2 linked regions of the Medicago truncatula genome follow. Each later gene encodes a partner of the first gene's protein in a complex. Links are inferred from orthologs where the notes say so. Each region holds a gene or a part of one and is shown on either strand. Other genes may lie near its edges.

The links.
Region 2: the proteins of ATP-dependent zinc metalloprotease FTSH 12, chloroplastic (region 1) and uncharacterized protein are in contact, whole or in part, in a cryo-EM structure (PDB 8XKU), measured with the Arabidopsis thaliana proteins. The link is inferred for Medicago truncatula from reciprocal best matches to the Arabidopsis thaliana genes FTSH12 and emb2737. Residues at the interface, in NP_565212.1 of Arabidopsis thaliana: Lys126, Asn127, Pro131, Ile134, Asn137, Lys138, Trp139, Trp142, Leu156, Ala160, Phe161, Leu163, Leu164, Cys167, Gln168, Tyr171, Met323, Glu327, Leu330, Val334, Ile335, Glu381, Asp382, Leu383, Leu404, Pro406, Tyr407, Phe409, Glu410, Cys413; in NP_001032071.1 of Arabidopsis thaliana: Thr82, Ile85, Ala86, Leu89, Lys92, Ser160, Ala161, Pro162, Leu163, Pro164, Ser165, Lys166, Ile195, Met196, Glu197, Pro198, Pro199, Ala202, Val205, Leu206, Met209, Tyr211, Pro212, His215, Ser224, Ile225, Phe228, Thr232, Leu233, Ile236.

Annotation. Positions count from the first base shown.
Region 1 is NC_053049.1:19,167,083-19,178,676, forward strand, and holds the start of ATP-dependent zinc metalloprotease FTSH 12, chloroplastic, read left to right. Parts: upstream 1-6,866; 5' UTR 6,867-6,984; coding exon 6,985-7,356; intron 7,357-8,606; coding exon 8,607-8,791; intron 8,792-9,795; coding exon 9,796-10,022; intron 10,023-10,846; coding exon 10,847-11,124; intron 11,125-11,594. UniProt on the Arabidopsis thaliana protein: Probable ATP-dependent zinc metallopeptidase.
Region 2 is NC_053043.1:39,211,184-39,222,196, forward strand, and holds the start of uncharacterized protein, read right to left. Parts: upstream 4,414-11,013; 5' UTR 4,347-4,413; coding exon 4,122-4,346; intron 3,264-4,121; coding exon 3,199-3,263; intron 3,056-3,198; coding exon 2,957-3,055; intron 2,457-2,956; coding exon 2,321-2,456; intron 2,220-2,320; coding exon 2,160-2,219; intron 2,017-2,159; coding exon 1,957-2,016; intron 1,673-1,956; coding exon 1,550-1,672; intron 630-1,549; coding exon 561-629; intron 251-560; coding exon 113-250; intron 1-112. Other genes in the region: GDSL esterase/lipase At5g45910, read right to left, coding at 8,995-9,197, 9,331-9,604, 9,729-9,874, 9,974-10,192, 10,510-10,747.

The sequences.
Region 1 (11,594 bases):
GAAAAGATCCATAAGAGCTTGAATTGAAGATACTCTACCCTTACAAAAAATCATAATGTCATCTGCATAGAGCGAATGTGAAGGTACGTTGACTGATCTAGAGCCTCTGATGAGATCCAATTTGCCTTGCTCCACCAGTTTGGTAATGTTTCTGCTTAAAACATCTTCAGCCATGCAGAACAATAACGGTGAAAGAGGGTCACCCTGCCTCACTCCCCTTTTGCACTTAAAGTAGCCATTTTGTTTACCATTCACATAAATAGATAGAGTAGCAGAGTTTAGAATAGTTTGAATCCATGAGCAAAATTGCTGGTTGAAACCAAATTTGTTCAATACATTGAGAAGGAACTTCCATTCTAGGGTATCAAAAGCTTTAGAAATATCTACCTTGAAAGCCAAGTTACCTGCAAAAGCTTTATGATGAAGATGGTTAATAGCTTCAGAAGTGACACAAATACAATCTCTAATATTCCTTCCTTGGATAAAACCTCTTTGTTCCGGGGAAATGAGATTCTTCATTAAAGGAGCTAGTCTATCCGCTAATATTTTAGAAATAATCTTGAATTTGAAATTAGCTAAGGCTATTGGTCTATATTGTCCCACAGATAACGCATCAGGGACCTTGGGAATAAGAACAATTGTGTTAGCGTTATAGTTTGGTAGGATCCAATCTCTCTTGAAAAATTTTAAAACTGCATTAGTGACATCCAATTTGATTATGTCCCAGAAGGATTGATAAAAAACTGCCCCAAAGCCGTCGGGGCCAGGTGCCCCATCCTTGTTCATATCCATCACTACTTTGTGAATCTCTAATTGAGTAGGAAGCCTGGTGAGTAACTGATTCATCTCCTCATTTATCATGTTGGGAATTGTTCCATCTAATAGCTCCTGAACCTGCAAATCCTGCACAGAAAAATTAGTTGAAAAAATATTTTTGAAGTGGTTTGTAATGTGACTTGATATTAAATTTGGCTCAGTAATCATGTTATCCCCATCCTTAATGGAAGTGATGAGTTTAGAGGTGTTTTTGATTTTGGTTAGTCTTTGGAAGTATCGAGTGTTTCTGTCCCCATTAGCATGCCAAGCTACCTTAGATTTTTCTCTCCAAAAATCTTCCTCTTTATCCAAGGCTAACTCTAAATCAACTTGTGCAGCTTTCTGTTGTTCAAATAAAGAATCACTATTTCCGAGCACATCAATGTCATTCTAAGTAATAAAGAAACCACAATATCAATTAGAATTGCTAACAGAGAAAAAATATCAAAGAAAAATAAAATCATTCTAAGTAATAATGTAACAAAGAGCATTGATTTTCTTCATTCTTTGTTCATATATCGTTTCTAGCGTTTTCAATATGATTGATTATGCTCACAAATAATACTCTCTTAAAAGATTGTGTTCTTATATCTACTAAAGTCATGAAAGTATCATGCAACTTTTTTCCTGGTAACCTTACTAATGATGATAGCAAGTTCATGCATTACTTTCTCAAAGAATAATTATACACTGATCAAATCTTATTAGGTTGCTAGTTCAAATTTATTGAAGTGAAGGGATTAATTACTAGTGATATGCCCAAAAAAAGTATTACATTATAAATGAAATCATATACCAAAATAATGAAAGATTACTAAAATTTTGTTCCAAATCCTCATTTTCACATTCAATTGGATCATGAACTTAAACTTACTACTTTGCTCCACCAATCTCCTTTGCGATTCCAACAGATCTATTGTGTGGAGGTGGGAATCTCTTTTCCTCTCCATGGTTGTGCTCAGATATGTAGAGATGACACCATCGGCTGATCTCGACTACTCATTTGAGAAAATTGGCAATGGTTAGAGAATTCTACTTCAAATGAAGAGTGTCACTTATCCATAAAGAATCATCAACAATACTGTCTGGAAAATAATTTAAGCAGGTTTGTATTCAAAGAAAAACTCATGTTTGTTAAGCTTCAATACTGTCCATTGTTGTGGTGGAAAAACAAAGATGCATAATTCGTAGGCTGTTTTAAGATTTCTAGTGTAATGAGGGCAATAGAATTTGCAAAAGCTAAAAATTGGAACAATCTTTGGTTATTTTGCTTTCAAATCATCTGAGTGGTGCCTTGGTAGTTAAGAAAAAATGGCCTAATTGTCTTACTTTAATTTCTAGCAAGAATTTCTTAGTGACACATATTTACAAAGAGGGTAGCACTTATGGTGATGATTTAGCCACTATTGGCTTGTCCTTGATCTCTTTTGTTTACTTTTTTTCTATTCCTTTAGAAGCTATGAGTGATTACATTAAAAATTAAAAATAGACTTGGTTGGCCTAATTTTAGGTTAACTCACACTTGAGAAGGTTTTGGAGTTGTCCCCCTTCTTTTTTTTAATCAATTTTCTTTGGTTAATTTTTTGTTGGGTGAGGTAGCTTCTTTCTACTCACTTGGATGAAAAAAATTAAAATATCTCTTCCCCAATTTAATATAAAAAATCACATATATAAATATCTTGAAAATAAATCTGAAAAATGGTATAAAAGTATTAGTATATTTTCATAGAGATGTGAAAATATTCTCAATTAAAATGTTCCTTTTATTATTCTTAAATTGTTATTCGTAAACTGAAAAGATAGTAAAAAATATAATTTGTTCAATAGTGTACTTCAAATTTCTTTGCTTCTTTCTGAATGATCTGTTGTATCCACTTTATCTGCACATAGGTTTGTTCGTTTCTAATTAAAACACATCTTCTTTTTAACCATCAATGACAAAACGTACTGCTGAACATGGACAATGACATTTCTCCAGACAAAACTGGTTAGATGTTTTTCAAAGCATTGAATGTTGACTTCATCCTTCAAATAATAGCTTTGCTGTCAGAGCTTCTCTTGAGCATCAGAGTTTTTTTTTTTTTTTTGGTCAAGTAGTCTAATGGCTAGAGCTCACACAATTTAATTGTGGAGAAGTGAAGTGTCCGGGGTTCGAATCCCTGCCCCTGCATATAAAATGCGATATCCCTACCAATTGAGCTAAGGTCACGGGGATAGAGTTTTTCTTCTTTACTCATAGTAATATATAACAAAGTTAGAATGTTGACTTGAAAGTCATATTTTAATTCTATTGTAAATTTTAAAAAGAAGCAGCTATAATTAAAATCAATTCATTTTTATTCTAACAATTACAATTGATTTACATTATACATTTATTTTGTACTGACAACTTACATGAATAAAAATCTAGACAAAATTACTCGTTATGACACATGTCGCCTCTAAATTACTTGATTTTCTACCCAATAAACAATTCCATGTCTTGGTTCCTAAAAGGGATATATGGGTGAATCAAAATTGATTGGTAATAATAATAATTGAAAATTGGATTTTCTTCCCTATAAACTTTTCGATGCCTTGGTTCCTAGACATAATATATGGGTGAATTAAAGTAGATAGATAATATAAATTAAAAATTAAAAAATAAAACTTAAAAAGTTCAACTAATTTTTCCATACACATAGACACAAACATTTTGTTGGCACAGTTTGTAGAGGACAACATTTAGGGTTATAAACCATGACTTCCTCTCTTAGTAAATTCTACACCATATTCATCTTGATCTTGCTTTGTCTTGTATTTCTCCTTATTTTCACATGGGGTAAAAATCAACTAATAAACCTATATTTATTTGCACGTGCTTCTTTAATTCTATGCCTTGTTTAAGTTTTTATTTTTTAGTTTTTTAATTTCTTTTATTATTATTTTTTAATTTTATGTGTAGAGGTGGAAGCAAAACTTTGTGGTAAGCCAAATAGAACATTGTCAAGCCCATGTATTGACTCAGTGTGCTATGCAAAGTGCATCGACTCGGACTTGGATGCAGTATCTGGTTCTTGTGAAGGCTTTTTTACTTCTGAATGCTTTTGTTACTACGAATGTTGAGAAATGAGTTTTCCTTCGAGCAATTTCTGCCTTTGACATTTTTGTCAAATTTAAAATACTCTCTATAGTCTCACATATACATAAGTACTAGCATAAATGACCCGTGACAAGAGCATGTTAGTTTTTTATATAAAAATGTAGATCATTTTGGACTATCATGTGAAATTCTATTTATATTATGTAAAATTTAAAATGTAATGAATAAACCGTTGGAACATATTTTGAACACTTACATTATCCCTTCCAACAATATATACTTGTTGCTACGAAGACTTTTGCAGCTAAATTTGTAGCAACTCTCTAGCAAACTACCTTAGCTAGAAGTTTGCTACAGAATACCTATTGAATTGGCAGTAGCATTAATTGAGTGACAAATTTTCTAGGGAAATTGTTCTTGGTAAATCCATAGTAAATAGAAAAAAAATCCTAACAGATATTTAGCTATTAGATTGTGTTCTTGTATCTACTAAAGTCATGAACGTATCATGCAATTACTTGTTTCCTGGTAACCTTACCAATGATGATAGCAAGTTCATGCATTACTTTCTCAAAGAATAATTAAACATACACTGTGGAGTAACAACTTTTGATGGGTAGAGAATAGTCAAACATCAAATGGCTCGTCATACCTCTATGACTTGTGACTTCTACCAACTTAATTGCAACTTATAAGATACATACTAATTTTCTCCAGAAAATAGCTTATAATCTAGACTGGTTTCTGGATTATAAGATACATACTAATTCTTTGTTCATATATCGTTTCTTCAGAGTTTGTTTTATATAGACTTGCAGCAATAGTAACTACAAAATAAATATTGGAGATTTGCTCCTATTTGCATATTATGATATGACTATATTAAATCCATACAATAATTACAAATTTCAACACATATATTTACAATCATCTCATTACAATTGATATTAGAAGTGGCAAGTGCTTAGTTTCTTATATTTCTCCTAGCTGCTCTACTCTTTTCACTATCTGTGAAATAAACATGTGTCCCTTGCCAACAGAAAAGAACACTAAATTAATACATAAATTGAAAATTTTGGGCATAAGAATATATTGGTGGATACATAGCAAAGAAGCTATGAAGCTCGGATAAGGATACAAGTGCGATTACGATACGATACGGGTACACGGATATATGAACTTTTTTAAATGTAGGATACAATACGGCACATTAATAAAAAATTTATACTAGAACTTAAATGTATGTAAAATACTTGAATGAAGTAAACATTGATTATTCTTTATTATTATATTAATATAAAAGTCAAAATTTTACAAAAATAATACATGTGATCAAAATAAAAAAATGTAAAGTTTTCTTATAAACCATATTATATTTTCATATGTTCAGATATCGAGTGAAGCATAATTAAAAGAACTCAACACAAATTTTATTTAATATTGATTAACTGAATCACATCTCTCTCGTTATCTTCATCCCACAAAAAATATAATTTTAAGTGGTTCATCGAGAAACAATTCTACTGATGCATATCTAAAATTGAATCATATACATCTCAATTCAATTTTTACAACATTGTCTCAATTTTTTACTCCTCATATTTTCTAGGATAAGTATATGTAAAGTATCTTATAAGTATCATTGTGTATATGTGGAGTATCATATAAGTATCCGACAAAATATTTTTTAAAAAATTTAAATAATTAATTCCGATACTTTGTGCTTACGTATCCACGAGTATAATATTGATATCCGATACGAATACGTCTCTATTTTAAAGTATCTGAGCTTCATAGCTAAGAAGTATCATAATTATTCTTTTTACTTTATAAAAAATATTTCAACAAATACCTATGAAATACTACTTCACGAATATAACCAAATACACATCTTGTGAAAGATAAGGGCATAAGGTGAGACAAGGTTGGTGAAGTTGTTTCTCGATGACCAACATTAAAAAATAAAAAATTTATATTTAATTTATGTTCAGTTAAAAAATTAGAATTATTTTTGGGACATATTCTTATAATATTTTAAACATTCCTAAAGATTTTCATTAAAAAAATAAGAAATGAAATTGAAATTTTTTAAGAGATTAAAAGTGAAAGAAATTTTGTAGAGGAATTAAAAAACATATTTAACCCAAAAATATAAATGATACACATGAATTGATTTAAATTTAGGAACCAAAATTGTAGATAATTTTCATTTAACATTTTAAAATAGGTTTAATAGCAGTATTGGCCTCTTAATTATCAAAAAGTTGAGATTTTGACCTCCTAACAAAATAAAATACAATCCAGCCCCTTAAGTATTTCCCTTTTGTAGTTTTGGCCTCCAATGCCAATTTTGACCAAGTCAATGCTGATGTAGACCCCACTTGTGTAACTTTTTTATTTTTATATTAAAAAAATAAAAAAATTATTTTTTAATTAAATTTTTTTTTGTACATTGACTTGGTCAAAATTGGTCTGGGGTGCCAAAACTGCAAAAAGGTCGGTATTTAGGGGGTTGGATAATTGGATTTTATTTTGTTAAGATGCCAAAATCGCAACCTTGTGATACTTAGAGTGTCAAAACTGCTATTAAACCTTTAAAATATTATCAATTTAATTATTTTTTATAGGCAAAATTACACATTTAGTCCCTTAACTTAATTTCAGATAACAGTATGGTCCTTTATCTTTTTTTCATTTCAATTTGGTCCTTTTTGTCTATTTTCATGAGTTTTTAAACTTAAAATTCATGATTTTATTTTCTTATGGTCCTTCAGTCTTTAAATCTATGATCTTCGTCTATGTTTGTATAAGAATTTAGATTTGAAACTTGAAAATGTATATGAAAATGGACAAAAAGACCAAATTAAAAAAAAAAAAAGGTAAAAGACCAAACTGTTATCTGAAATTAAGTTAAATGATTAAAAATGTAATTTTGCATTTTTTATATGATTAGATAAATAAATGAAACAAAGGATGATGGATAAACCCCTTCATCCTCAACGTAACATAAACCCCAAAATTCCAAAATCATCTTTACTACAGAAATGAAACCAAGAACCTCCTGCTCCATGTAGAAAAATCCATCAATGGCTCTCAAATTTCCAAACCCTTCAAACCCATTTCTTCTTTCATCATCACCACTAACCCCATCTCTTCAAAATCCTAACTTTTTCACTCTACACTTCAGTAACCATCGCAGAAAGCTCAAGCTTCGAGCTTCATCTACAGCAGACCCAAATGGAGCTGATGGGTCATCTTGGTCAGAGTCATTGGACCGCGCTTCGAGGCGGTTTTTGGTGAAATTTGGAGATATGGTGAAGAAAGAGACGGGTGTTGATTTGGGAGATGGGGTTGGGAAGGTTGGTGAGTTTGTGGATGGTGTGAGGAAGGTTGGAAGTGAGTTGAGAATTCCGAGTTTGGATGAGTTTGTTGATTGGAACCGGTTCGAGAATTGGAAGGTAATGAGATTTTTACTTTTGTTGTTAGTTTTATTCATAGGTGATACGAGATAGAATTTAGGCCGTGCTTGGATAAGCAACTTATTTGCAGCTTATAGCACAAATGCGTATGTATAAGCTAGTTATATAACAAAAGATAAATGAAAGTTAAATTGTTATTGTATATGCTGTAAACTGTTTCAATAAGCTATCTTCGAGAACTTATGAGAATAAGATGAAAACAGCTTATGACCAGACATTGGTCATAAGCTGTTTTCGTAAGTTCTCACAAAACTCATGCCGTTAGGTAAACTCAAATAAGTCAATCCAAACAGACCATTTAGTGTTTGGTTTGTTAAGATTGTTTCGTTTTCATTGGGATGATGTTTGAGTTTTGGTATAATTGTTACTTGTTAGGGACTGTTAATTTACCGATAGTTACAAATTTTATTTTCAGTATCTGTTGTATTGAACATGAAAATGTGAATAGGAAATAAGGTGACATTTTTGTAATTATAAGTGAAACTAGAAAAATGATAGTTATAGTTCCGTAAGTACAACTTAAATAGTAAAAGGGTGCAGGGACACTTGACATTCGGGGGTGCAGGTTCGAACCCGCAGTTCTCCACTTCTAGTGTTTGACAACATCGCTTTACATACTTGACAGGATATGATATGATAGGATAGCATTGCATTTGTTTGATGAGTGGGAGTAGATTATTTGAGCTTATCTATAGACATAAGCACTCAAGAGACTGTTTAAGAGAGCTTATGGAAGAAACTTATGATATATTTATAGGCTGTTTTCGACTTATTTCAACAAGTTCTCTAGGATAGCTTATGAAAACAGCTTACAGCTTATATAAATTATTTTTGATTTGATTTTATCTTTTGTTATAGAGGTAGCTTATACATAAGCTCTTGTATGATTCACGCTTCTGATCTAAACACTTAATTAAACTGTTTATTTAAACAGGGACATAATATCTCTCATTTTCTTTACATACCTGATAGGATTGATAGGACAGGATAGCATTGCATTTGTTTAATGAATGGGATCGACTTTGTTGGCATTTATGTATTTTCTATCCTAGAACCATTTGTGTCCTGATAAATTTGTTTTGACCGAAAGAGATGCTATATAAACTGTTGGATCAGCATGGCAGAAGTGGATTACTTGCTTTATTCGTATAATTGGCTCCAGTTACTTTTGTTATTATCTATTTCTTTTTAAATATGAACTAAAACAATGTAGTTTATTCTTATACCAGAATGTCAAGAACTGGGAACCTAGGCGAATCGGTGCTTTAGTTCTGTATATATTTGTTGTAGCATTTGCTTGTCGAGGAGTATTTGTAGCAATTCAAGCACCTTTCCTAAACCACCAGAGGAAAGAGTCGACTGAAGCCTACATGGAAGTGTTAATTCCCGCGCCAACCCCGACTAACATCAGAAAGTAAGTCAAGCCTCGTTTATTCATTATGTTTGGCATTCATATGTTATATACACTTTTGACATATCAAATTGTTGGTTATAATTCTCTTAGAAATTAAGTTGTTCATTTATCGAACTTTTTCTTCTTCTTTCGGAATGTATAATATTCATTCACTACTTAAATCCTACTCAATAGAGTTCTAGTTACTAAAACAAGACAATAGTAGAGAGTGTTCAAAAGAGAATGTGGGTAGCTCGTCTCTTTGAACTACATGCTGTCTTGTTGATTTGACCAAGACATGCTTGATGTTGAGTGTTCCATTTTCTTGGCCTTGACATTTCATGAATGATGATGTATTTACACCCTTGGTTTCAAATTGAGGACTGTGCTATTTAATGCAGCCATAATAGTAGTCGAGGAGTTATAACCAGCTTGTCTAGAGTTCAAACACTGGAAACTAACATAACCACTAATTTACTTATAATAACATTTTCCTGTAAAAAAATAGTAGTTGAGGCATGGCATTTGGCATCATGTCGAATTGTGGGGGGTTTCAAATATCCTCAAAAAAATCATCCACTATGTATTTGCGGCGACTGCACCAGCTTATAGAAATAATGCTGTATTTTTTATTTCAAAAATAAAATTTCATGGCCAGAAGCTTGAAAAATTTCGAAGCTGTTTTGACAGTAACTGGCATTGTATTTGCTCCCTGCAGCAGTTACAATTACAGTGACCAAAAATCTAGTATGTAACCTCAACTGTAATTTAATTTAAAGCTATGACCACAACTTCTCCATGAACTAAACAATACTACAACATTAATGATGCTAGTACTTATAAATCATTATCTGTGAATTTTCTTGCGTATAATTTTGACATTGCCCTTAAAACCCCCAAAAGCTTCTCGCCACTGTTCAAACAATTGCTGACCTATCTGAATACTAAATTGAAATCAATTTCATGTACTGAATCATTTAATGTGTTGTATGCATTTAACCAAGGTTTTCATCATTTAATTGTAGATTCAAGAAGGTCGTGTGGAGGAAGACAATGCCAAAAGGCCTGAAAATTAAAAAGTTTATTGAAAGACCTGATGGAACACTTGTTCATGATTCCACTTTTGTTGGAGAGGATGCATGGGAGAATGATCAGGAATCTTCTGATGAACATGTAAAACAAATTGTTGGGGATGAAGAAAGGTTAAACAGTGAAGAGAAGAACGAATTAACCAAAGACCTGGCCATCTCAGGTTCTCTTTAATTTATACAATTTTTACTCTTTCATTTTTTATATTATTATTATTTTATTTTTTTACTTTGTCTCATGATCTGTGTTTTTCATTTTGGATATATAGAGAAGTTGTTATTATGACTTAGAGATGTAATATTGCACAACTTCATTACTGATAACAATTTTCCCTCAAAAAAAAAATTACTGATAACAATTTATTTCCTCGTGTCCTCTGTATTAAGATAAGATGATACCGATAAAAGTGTATGCTGCAAGTACTGGACTATCATCGTCTTTCTTGTAGTTTGATTTCACATACAAAACATAAACTGGTATTTAACAAACTTCTTTCGAGACTATACAATCAACTCCGCTGACTTGCCACATAATTTTAAAATTGGAATAACCGTAGAAAAGGTCATTAAACCTTGTTTTGTGGGAAGTTCTAGTTGTAAACCATGATGATTATATCTGTGTCAAAAATATTATTTGATTACTTGATAATGCAATTTTCCTGAATGAACTGCAATATCAATTTACATTTGCACAATTGTCTTAGGTTACCAAAATGTAGAACTTCCTTAACTTCATTTGATCCATTTAGATGAATCCACCATGTGAGATAGGGTCTTTTGGATTGGAGTACCGTTAATGACCTTATCTTTGAGGTTGACCTAGTCCTCTCTTTGTCAGGATTTGCATGTATCCCTTCTAAATTTCTTCTTACTGAGGTTACTTACATATCACTAGGATGGTTATGGTCATAATACAAATACAGCAATTCTATTGGGAATTGGATTTTTTTTTTAAATTCTTAATGAAGTACATTTTCATGTTCCAAAGCAGGCGAAGTTCAAACTGAGGGCACATGGCGTGAGAGACTTCATAAATGGAGGGAAATCCTTGGAAAAGAACGTCTTGTTGAGCAATTAAATTCCTTAAATGCCAAATATGAGGTTGATTTTGACATGAAAGAGGTTGAAAATAGTCTTCGCAAAGAAGTTGTAGAAAAGGTGAGAACCACTCAGGGAACAAGGGCTCTGTGGATAGCTAAGAGATGGTGGAGATATCGTCCTAAACTTCCTTATAATTACTTTCTTGACAAACTTGATAGTTCGGAGGTGGGTTTGTGTATATAATTCTATTGCCCTTTATATTCTCTTTCCTTACAAGAATATTTATATATCATCTGACCAAACAGTATGAATAGGCTGTTGTGTATAATTTGGTCCTCTTAGTTTCCAAGTAGTATGCATGCAATTAGAGTTAGTTCAAGTCTAATGGTGGTGAGGGTCGGTAGTTACCATGCATGAGTATATGACATGTACAAAGTAATAAGAAAGTGAATTAAAATCTTAGGCTTTTAGGTATACATTCGTTCAAGTTTGAGTATATGAAAAACATGGATTGAACTATATAATACAACCTCTATAATACTTAGGTGAACTGATGAATTGGGAAAGGATTAATTCATATGACTAATCATTATTTTCTTCATGTAAGAAACACTATATCATCACTACCATGGGTAGATAGGAAGTCTTTGAAACAGAAAAGGTTTTAGAGAAATGGTGTATGTACATGGATCCGG
Region 2 (11,013 bases), on another chromosome or scaffold:
AACAGTCATATATGAAAATTTTAGACAAATGAAAAGGGAAACATTCAACAAGTACACTTAACAAAAGCCTGTAATTATGTGACAGAAAATTATGAAGATAGTGAATACATACACCCCAATTTGATGGTCTTGGTGGAGGATCAAGCTTCATAACCTCCTCCTCCAGTGCCTTCTTAGCCTTGTAGTAAGGGATGTTTTTACCTATGACAGGATCATCCCTTGCACGGTCAGGATCTATAGATATCAAGGCCTGTGATAACAGTACGATTATAAATTATGTATTAAAAAATATATAAATTTGTGCAAGAGGTAAGAAAAAGAAGAAAATTGAGATGCTATAATTTCAAATACATGAATAACACAAAATATCTAGCATCCAACTATTTAAAAAATCACCTTGATTTTCAACAAAATTGTAAAAGTTTATCTGTTTTCCATTTATCAACTAGCTAAATATTTATTCCTACATAGCTACATTTATGTGCTTGCGTCCATAGCCAAGAGCATAACCAGCCATGAATACAAGCAACAATATTCAGTGCACAGTATACGAAACTTACATCGTTCAGAAACTCCCACCCAGGTTTTCTCGTGGCCACCTCATCTCGAAGTTGGTCCCACCTGGATTCCTAAACCCACACGCAAAAGAAATACGAATATTATTTATGGAGGTAAAATAAAAACAGCTTTGAATTGATTTGATCAAAAGCTTTAGAGCATAAATGTTATAGGTAATGTGTAGTTAGGCTGCATGATGCCTGGTTAACTTGAAAAAGCTACTGTATGGGAGGATAGAATAATCAACTTTATAAGTTACATAATCAGAGGTATTATGCACCTTCTGCCTTTTCTTCAAATTCTTTTTAAATACTCAATCTTGTTTTCTGCATCACCTTCCCCACCAATATAAAATCCATTCAAGGGTTACTCAAGCCCGTATAAACGTTTCTTCTTACAATTGACTAATAAAACCATATGCCTAACACACCATTGTGCAAAAAATGAATGGAATGCATGTGATTAGCAATAAAGAATAGTTATGGAGTTATTTCCTTGTTGGCATATAAGCTACACCATTTTGTTCAAAGAACGTCTTCTAAGAGATTATGCTTGTCAGTTAGAGAAATTACTGGAAGTGGAAAATAAACTTCGACGCATTTCCTCAGCAAATTGCAAAGGATGATTGTTTTGGGCAAATCATTTTCATACTTCACTCCTCATTTTCTAAGATGTTTTCACGCCCATCTTCATCACTACCGAGCACAACCGTGTTATTGTTATGTTAAGCCTAAAACCCTTGAAGTCAGTAGGCCAGCTCCATTAGTTTTGTTCTTTGATGTTTCTCTATTTCAGAGCACATATTCAAGTGAACTACTATCCTCTAAGTAGTTCAGTACTAGTATTGATAAGTCCAAAAGGAATAATTTGAACGAGCAAAGAGGACATTCAAAAGGAAAAATAAAAGCATATCAAAACCAATAAGGGGACAAATCAATACATGAATAGTTGAACTGAAACTGAAAAATAAGAAGGAATATGAACAAACAACCTCATACTCTGACAATATTGTCTTCTTTGCATTGTCGCCATAGGTAAATCCATACATAATCTGTGGATAGGCAATCAACCAAAATTCAGCAATATCGGGATCTTTCATGCTATCCCTTATGTGCTGAAAATATTAAAAACATAAAAAAGATTAAGAATACGGTGTCAAATAAGAGTGAGAATCTCAAATGAAAAAAATACTAATTAGTAGTTTGCATAAAATGTAAATCTAAGAGAAGCATTCACTCCGATGGTAATAGTACAGAGAGGTTAACAAATGACTATAAATGTATGGCATCAAGGTTTGTTTTCGTAGTATATGAGAGAGGTCTACATTATCTTATCAATTTTGACAATAATAGCAATTGGTCGGATAGAATTAGGTGAGAATTTAGAATGACGACTGACCTCATATGGATAATCCATCTTTTCCAAGACATTACGAGCTTGCCAATGGGGCTCCATAATCTTAAACAAAGAAAGGGCACGTAAAAATGGTAAGAATTATCACAATTTCAAATGATATTTAAGTTTAAAATATGAATCAGCAAAAATTAACAATTTAGAAAGAAAGAAAAAATAGGTTCAAGGAATTAAAGAAATTAACTCACACCATCAGCTGAAATCTTAAATGGTAATTTGTTTTTACATTCAGGACATCCCATTACACCCTGTGCAATATCGAAAAATTCTTCAACCACAAATCACAACAGCATTGGCGTGCAAAATTACTAGATCAATCATGTTAACAGCCATTGTATTGAGTTCATACCGTTCCATCGCAAATTGGACAGTCTTTTGATGGTAATGGTATCTGAGGATCGAAAGAGGATGATGGTATGTGCACTAACTCAGCCTGGTTGTTGACAATGGCATCTGCAACAGATTCGGCCGTCGCTTTCTCTCCACTAAAAGTGAATAAATAAATTGAAGAAGAAAATATAAGGTATTTATATATTAGTTCGAAGAGAGAATCCTATGAAATTATGATTAAAAAAATATGCTACAAGGAATCAAAATGGAGGGAGTTATTTACGGAAAAACACTTTACTGCACTATCTTACATACCCAAATTGTTCTAAATCAGATGTACGTTTTCTTAAGAGGCCTTCTAAAAGACCATCTAAGTAAGAGTCACTATAATCGTTTATAGTGCAAAGTTTATTACTTTAGAAGTTTCCTTGAACTATCTAGACATGTAACCAAAAATGAACCGAAAAGATAAAGATTGCAGAGTATTAAAATACAACTAGAATCTCAATTTATGAGATTGGAATCAACTGTTTTACAAGTTTGTGAGATCATTAATTCATTATTAAAAACTTCAACAATAACACTAAATAAACCACAAACTACATTGGAATAATGCCTGTAAACTCTGACTTTTTTCCACATGGAGAGTACTCACCTCTTCAGGTGGCAATTCTTCACTTGATAGTGGACTCTTCCACTTCCTCGACACATGGTACACCGCATGGCCTGCCATCCATTACATGTCACACAGTCCCTGTTCTTGATAACACATTTAGTTAGATTTCAATAATTCCAAAGGCAACAAACAACACTACACTAACCAAAGATTATACACATCATGTCCTCAAGTGAGGAAACAACAATCTATCTATTAATAAATACAAAACAAAACAGCACCTTTGACATATCACCTTCCTTCCCAAGTTTAATGCAATGTCATAAGTCCCCAAAGTAGCAACCGCCTACAATCAAGCCATGCAGCAATATTCATTATCAAATAAAGATAAAAACAAAACAAAGAACTAACAATGGTGATACTTGCATACAATGCAATTCCTGCAAACATCAAAAGAAGAACACTAGCAACACACTTTATAACATTTTTTCTGATACACTATCTATTATTTGATAAAAATTTACTCAATACATTTTGTGGTAGTCATTGACTAATTGATGAACTCAAATAAAGTCCATCAAAGAGTACAATAAAGGATGTATCAGCAGCAATTTTCAAAAAAAAATAATAATCTCATTTGATGAAACTAACATGTGCCCTTAATGTTAAGAAACTACATACATTATCCTTAAAAAAAAAAAAACTACAGTTGTGTAATCAATTTCTTAAATGTCCAAAAGCTGCTCTTTTCAATGCAAAATTTCTACATTCAAGTACCTTAACATGTGCCCTTATGGCAAGGGCACATGGTAGCACCCTTGATGAAATTACCTATGTAGCACCAACCTTCAAATTTCCATTTTTTTCAAACTATCATCGGCGTTGAAGTGTTAGTGCCATGTCTCGTGTAGGTGTCACAGTTTCATAGCAACATAACATTCATTTCAATTTTCGACAAAGCACCCAACATTAAATCTCATTTCCTCCAAAACCCAGAAACTAAGGAAAAATAAATAAACAAAAAAACATCAATAATTTCCACAAAACCCCACAAACCCAAAAACATAACCTCAACAAAACAACACAATTCACCTTAAAAAACACAAAATTGACAAATAGAACTAGTTGACGATAACCCAGATAAGCAAAACACAAAAAGAATCGATTTTTAAAGCTAAAATACAAAAGGGTAAGCAAAACTAACAAAAACAGAAGCAGCAGAGAGCTTAGAAACAAGCTCAGGAACACCAAAGCCACGAGGAGCAGAACCAGCAATATCAATTGCAACGGTCAAAGGAGTGAAGAGAACTTTGAAGGGGAAAGCAAAGACATCGCTAACTGTTTCGCCATAAGCGTTGTTGAATTCCTTGAAGCGATTTCTGAAGAATTTCTTGACGAAATTGCCGAAACCGCGAGGTCGTTTGGGCATGGCGTGGCGGGAGGAGAGTGACTGAGTGAATGAAAGGGAGTGGATAGAGAAGATAGATAGAGTTCAAAGAGGGAAAGGAGTTTAATAAATTTCACTACCTCATAATTTCATAAATCAATTTTAAATGTTTTTGATTAATTTTGTGTGAAAAGTTAGTTTTAGATCGTCAATTCGGTATCATAAAACTCTTATTTTATTGCGGTATTATTTATTTTTATGGAAATATTTATATAGCAATATAAAAACTCACATTTTGCATTTTTGGTTAAAAATAAATTCAATGATAAAAAAAAAAAAAATGTATCATGATAGATTATTTAATACAAACTAGTAGAAGACCCCTGCGGTAATTATATAAAAAACAAAATTTATATGTGTATATGAAAAAAAAGTCGATATGATAAAATATTGAAAATTTGAGATTGTCTTCTTTCTTCTTTTTATAAAAGCTTATTAGGTTAAGCTTTTGAATAATCCTGATCATAAGCTTGGTTTCCCTCCCCCTCACATGAGCTTACGTAATAAGGCTCACGCCAACATTAAATGCGGTTTTTTTTGTCAGGTAATCTAGTGGCCAGAATTTACCTTATAGAATGAATAAGTAGGGTGTCCGGGGTTCGAACCCCGGCCCCTGAATATAATAATGGACTGCGGGTTCTAACTAGCCATTTTCCTCCCAATTCTTGCTAACCTTGCATATACAAGTTTGAATTTGAATTGTCATTTCCGTCTTCAAAGCAATAATTTCGACAATAATAAATTCTCATGAACTCTACATTACTTATACACGAAGTTTACCAAATAATACTTTGTACGAAGCAACCAATTGTTTTTACCAAGGCACATTTCTTTGTCCATATGCAACATTTTGATTTCCATGACACCCCTATCTCCACTCTCCTTTGTTCCTTCTAATTTTTGAGAAACTTCTATGTGTTGCGCGTCCACCCCTCTACTGCCCTCACATGGCCATCCCAACAGAGTCTTTGCCTCAACAACACACAGTAATCAAACATCTATAGGGTTTCTGATTTCCTTATGCTTCAATATCTGTTAATATTCTTCTTTCTTTGTTTTCATCATTTCATTTGATTAATTCAATCTCATAGCTTCATTTTATCATTCTTGATTTCATCTTAAAATATTTTTCCTTTATCCCCCTTCTTCTTCATATTTGTCTCAAGAATTAGCTACGAAATTAATGGGACAAATATGGAATTGAAGGAGGTCAAGTGGTGGTTGATAGGAATTCTTGGACGCAAAACTAGATTGAACGAATACGGTGGTGGAAGGTGACTCAAACAATTGTAAATGCGACATTTATTGTTTCCTCAACGGATTTCCATGTAAAGATGTGTTATGAAACCTTTTTTTAATTATGTGATTCAAGTTGTTAGATTGACATTTATTTCTTTGTTCAGGTTTGAACTCAAACCTCCAACTTCTTATTCCTTAACAATTGATCTATACTTAGTTATTAGATTAGTTTTTCTCTTTTACCCGAGTTTGAACCAAGACCTCCAACTTCTTATCGTTCAAGATCAAACTATTGAGCTACCCAACCCCATCTCTTTTTTTTTTTTTTTAAGGAAACCCATCTCTTTTATTGTTGATTGATGCACAATCGATATAAAATACTCAATTGGTTTCCTATTATAAGTCCCTCTGACCAATATGAAATACTCCTAGAGTTATTTACTCAACAAAATAAGTTCAACGATGGCATTAGATTTGTTGCATGTTAAGAAAAATACTTTTTTTTTTTTGTGGTAGCTGGGGTTTGAACCCCGGACCTTATATATTATTATGCATTATTCATACTAACTGAGCTAAGCTCACAAGGACATATTATGAAAAATACTTTACGAGAGGGGATAAATTTACTAATTTTATTAAATAAAAAAATAAATATGTAAATTATTATATTGTTTTTATTCTCTAAGAGAAAATCCATTAATTAACTAGTTTTTTTGGTCGGCTATTATTTAGTCTCAAAAACTATCACTCTCTCTTCAATTTATTTATAAATATAATAATTCATCTTTAAATTACATAAAATCTATCAATTTGATTGCTAATTTTAATATTAGCTACTAATTAATTGATGGATTTCGTATATTTATGAATATTTATTGTATTTTCATAGAGATTATAAACCAGAATGGTAGTTTGATAATTAAATTAATAGTTTATGTCAAGAAAAAAAAATAATGTATAAGTAATTAGTAATCGGGGAAAATTCTTAAGAAGGGCATTTGGGTCATTTCCTCCTACATATATATAAGCTATCTCGTGAAAATTTTGTGTCACTTGGCTGATCATTGTAGCAAAATCAGTAAAGGAGGAAATGAATAACAAAGATGTGTGGATCAAAGGAAGTGGTAATCAATAGATAAAGTGTCTTCAAACATCAACAACAAAAACAGACCTAAATCTAAGTGTAGAGCAACACCACAAGCATAATCAAAGTAATAAAGATAAGCAATGAAAGAAAGGAACAAACACACCAAGATTGTTGGCTCAGTTCGGTCCAATATGACCTAATTTGGGGGAGAGAGCAGCCCTCCAATCCACTATGATGAAAGAGTTACAAAATAGTTACAAGAAATTAGCTTATAAGCTTACACAAGAACAAGACTTAATTTCTACCCATTTTGTGTCACCCTCACTCTCAATGAATCTTAAGAGAAAACACAAAAGGAAGCTTTTTGATCCTTCCAATGGCGAAATCTCACTACCCAAGGTGTTTACAATGTTCCCCAACCCAAGAGATCCTCACTACAAAGACACTCAACCCTAAAGTTACCTCCTTTGTAATCCAAGTTTCTCTCTCTAAAAGCTCTTCTTCAAAATCTGCACAAGAACACTTATATAGCAGTCTTCAGTTGTCAAAATCGTGTCATGTTTGTCCAAATCGTGACACGATTGGTGCGTACGACCCAAGGTACGGCCAACCTTATCTTGAAAATGTGCCCAGCAAGTTGAAAATTGTGTCACGTTTTCCTAAAAACGTGACACGATTGAGCACCCTGAAAAACCATGCTCGCTGCCTGAAAATTGTGACACGACGTGTCACGATTTCTCTATTCTCCCAAAACACAAATTTGAAGACAAATTTCAACAATTATGTTTATAAGAAATTATATAAGCAGTTAAGTTATGGCATTCGCACTTCGCGTCAGTACTGGAGTTGAGGTTCCCCGTCAGTAGTGGACATACATTTTTCCAATGCAAGTCCTACATGACGATAAGAGGAGTTCCGATGTTAGCCTGATACAATATGAAATTTCATCAGACAACAGTGGAATGTGGTTGGGGTTACTCTACCCGATGCATTCCGTAAAATGAACTCTGATAATAATTGTGTGTTACACGCTCACAGTGCTAACCAAAAAGAATGATAACATGAAATATGATATGATATGACAAGAATTATGATAGTATACTGTCAATGATCCTAGACTTCCCCAGATCGATACGATGTGCAAAATAGAACAACAAACCCTAAATTATGTTTATGTACAAATAAATGACGATCATAGGTTTCCAAGATTGCCTATAGTCTAGGATAAGTGGAACTCACTAAGACATCATGTCTCACCCCAATCCCTTTATTTCATTTTAGATAAGCAGGTTGATCGTGGCAAAGGCAAGTAGAAGAAGCTGGATGACTATGTACAGTTGTCTCTTATTATGTCATCAATTGTATTTCCTTATGTATAGTGTACTCATTAGTTACTGTATTATTACTTAAACAAGCATTTTACATTTTGTACTTGCAAGATTACAAACATCATTAAATAAATGAACCTAAAATATTGAGTTTTGCTTATAACCGTAACTGGAGGATATAATTAATTATTTTTTCTTATACCTTAAAGTCTCAAGGAAGTTAGCTCTAATAACTTAAAGTTCACTTTAAGATAAGTAAAGTCTTATAAAAGATTGTTTCAACTAAAATATGAACTCGATGCATTTCAAGAGCGTTTATAATCCAATTAATAAATTAATTAACATATAGATACTGTAAAGTATTATATTGTTAAAAAAATAACTGGTAGTAATAAAAAATTTAGTACAAAGTCAAATAAACATAATCTACTAATTTTTTTCTTGAAGGAAACATAATCTAATAGTTATTATATCATGAATTTTAGTTTTTTTACTACTAGTGAGATCAATGTCTTTATTTTTTTGCAGGGATAGTTATGTCTTTAGGGTGCTAATGTTAAATCACACATTAAAATTAATATTTTCATGTAGTTAAAGTATATTATCGCATCCTTTTTTTACCCAAAAAAAATTCATTATTCTCATATAGCGATCAAGTTTATTATCACATCCCTTTTTGCACCCAAAAAGAAAAAATCATTATTCTCACATAATTGATTTAAATTGATTACTCATAAAAATACATTACAAATTTTTTATAATCGATGAATGAAAAATTATTATTAATTACAGTGAAATTAATGATCATTTTACAATAAAGTCAAATGTTATTTGAATTTTTCCCCAATAGTCTTCTATGGGATTTGAACTTCGCCCTTTGAGGTTACAAATTTCATCCATATCAAAACCTCAAGGACAAATTCATTACATTTTTATTTATTTATCTTTAGTAGTATCATGCATCCTAATAAGTTATCTAAGCTATTTTGAAAAGAGGGGATTTAAGAGAAGGATTTGAAAATGGACCCTCAACTAGCCCTTTTGCTATTAGCTTATAAGCTGCTTCAGTAAAGTGAGGTCCGTCCCAATTTATACGCTTTGAAGGATCAGAGCAAACTATAGCGACAAGTGATCCACATCCTCCACAACATGCTTTGAAAATAGCATCCTTATCAAAACCTGCATAATTAATTTGATTGATCCAGTAAGCATGCATAAATGAAATAAAAAGGAATAATTTTTGGTAGCAATAGCAATCAAATACGTATATTGTTATTTCCAACATATATAATTATATATAAATACTGCTCACCATATTGTTGCGGTGTTTGATATAAACGTTTGGCATCATTATAGTAGTCAAAGTATATTATCTTAACTTCAGGGTGCTTCTGTCTTAGTGTCTCTATAGAATTTTTTAGTTGCCCATTAAAGTACTCGACTAAATTATTGTAAGCTATTAAGCACCCAAATTCATCATAGTCTTCTTTCTTATTACTATTCACCAATGTTAACATTCCAGCACTGCATCCCATCGGAAAATTCCCAGGTACCACTAGCTCTACAGCTCCTTCTTCGACTAGCACCTAGCACATAGAAACAAAATCAATGTCACATTTTTTCACGCGGATGATCCAATCAATGATATTTCTCTTTGAATTATAATTTAGTGAAGTAGTCATTCCAAAACTTAATTGCAATAAAACATACATTTGTGGTGTTAGTAATGGCTTCAACCATAAAGGGAACTATTTCTCGAAGTTCTGTAACAGTTTTATTCTTCATATGCTTCATAATATCGTTGCCACCAATTTCTCCAACTATAAACAATGATTTCTTGAAGTAGATATTGCAATCTATCATACAATGAAGCAAAGTTTGTTAGCCATATCGAAAAAATTTCATGTATTTCATAAAAATAAAAAAATAAAAAAATCCACTACTTATGGTAAAACCTTCTTTGCTTTTACAGAGGAGGGGTTTGATATTCTTGAACCATCCAAGTTGAATGCTCAATGAGTTATTTGTATCTGGAAGAGGAAGCCCATTTTTGACATAATACTCAACATCGAGTACAGTGGCACCAGCAAATGCAAAATTTACTCCTTTTTTGATATCTTGGTCTATGCTTTTATTCTCATAGGCAGGCAAAAACGGCAACCCATATGCCTCGGCTACAATTGAAATGATCACATGTTAAAGAACTTTGATCAAAATTTAATTGCATATTACTCTTATTGATTTCCACAACAGAAAATAGATTTTTTATTTATTTTTAATAAAACCTCATTTCATTATTTTTTTTTTATCTAAATATCAAGTTAAGACATTAAACCATATTTCACGTATGTGTATCTAGGTATCTGTGTGTGAGAGAGAGATAATATATCAAATACATTTTGTAGATTGCATGTAAATAATTTTTATTGTTTCTTATTCTTATCATTGGAGAAAAACTAATTTATAATACTAGAAAAAAACTTAATCATACCAATAAAATCTATGATTAGTCGTCCATTTGACATACGTCCTGAAGGATGTTTAAAGTAACTAGAACCATAAGGAATAGGGTTAGGCATAGGTAGCAAGATAGAAGCAGCATTCCCAGTGTCACTTATAGAATCACCAAAGTTAAAGAAAGCTTCATATGAGAGAGGATTTGCATTTGAAACTACATTTTGTAGAAAACCACATGTGAAGGTGATGAGGAAGAGAGTGAATACATTCATGGTTTAATTGTAAGGAAGGAAATTATCAATATTATTAATTAAGATGAATATGATGATGGGTGATTGGCAATGAGATTGATCAACCTTATATATATATTGCCACACCAACGAGTAATCTTGTCATAAAACTATCATTCTAACCAGGAAGTAGTTAATTGTTTTGATTCAATTAAAGCTGTTATATTTTGTATTAATTAATGTTTTTGAACACGTAAGCATCCTTTAAATATGAGTTCATTAATTACCTCAACAATTTTTCCTACCCT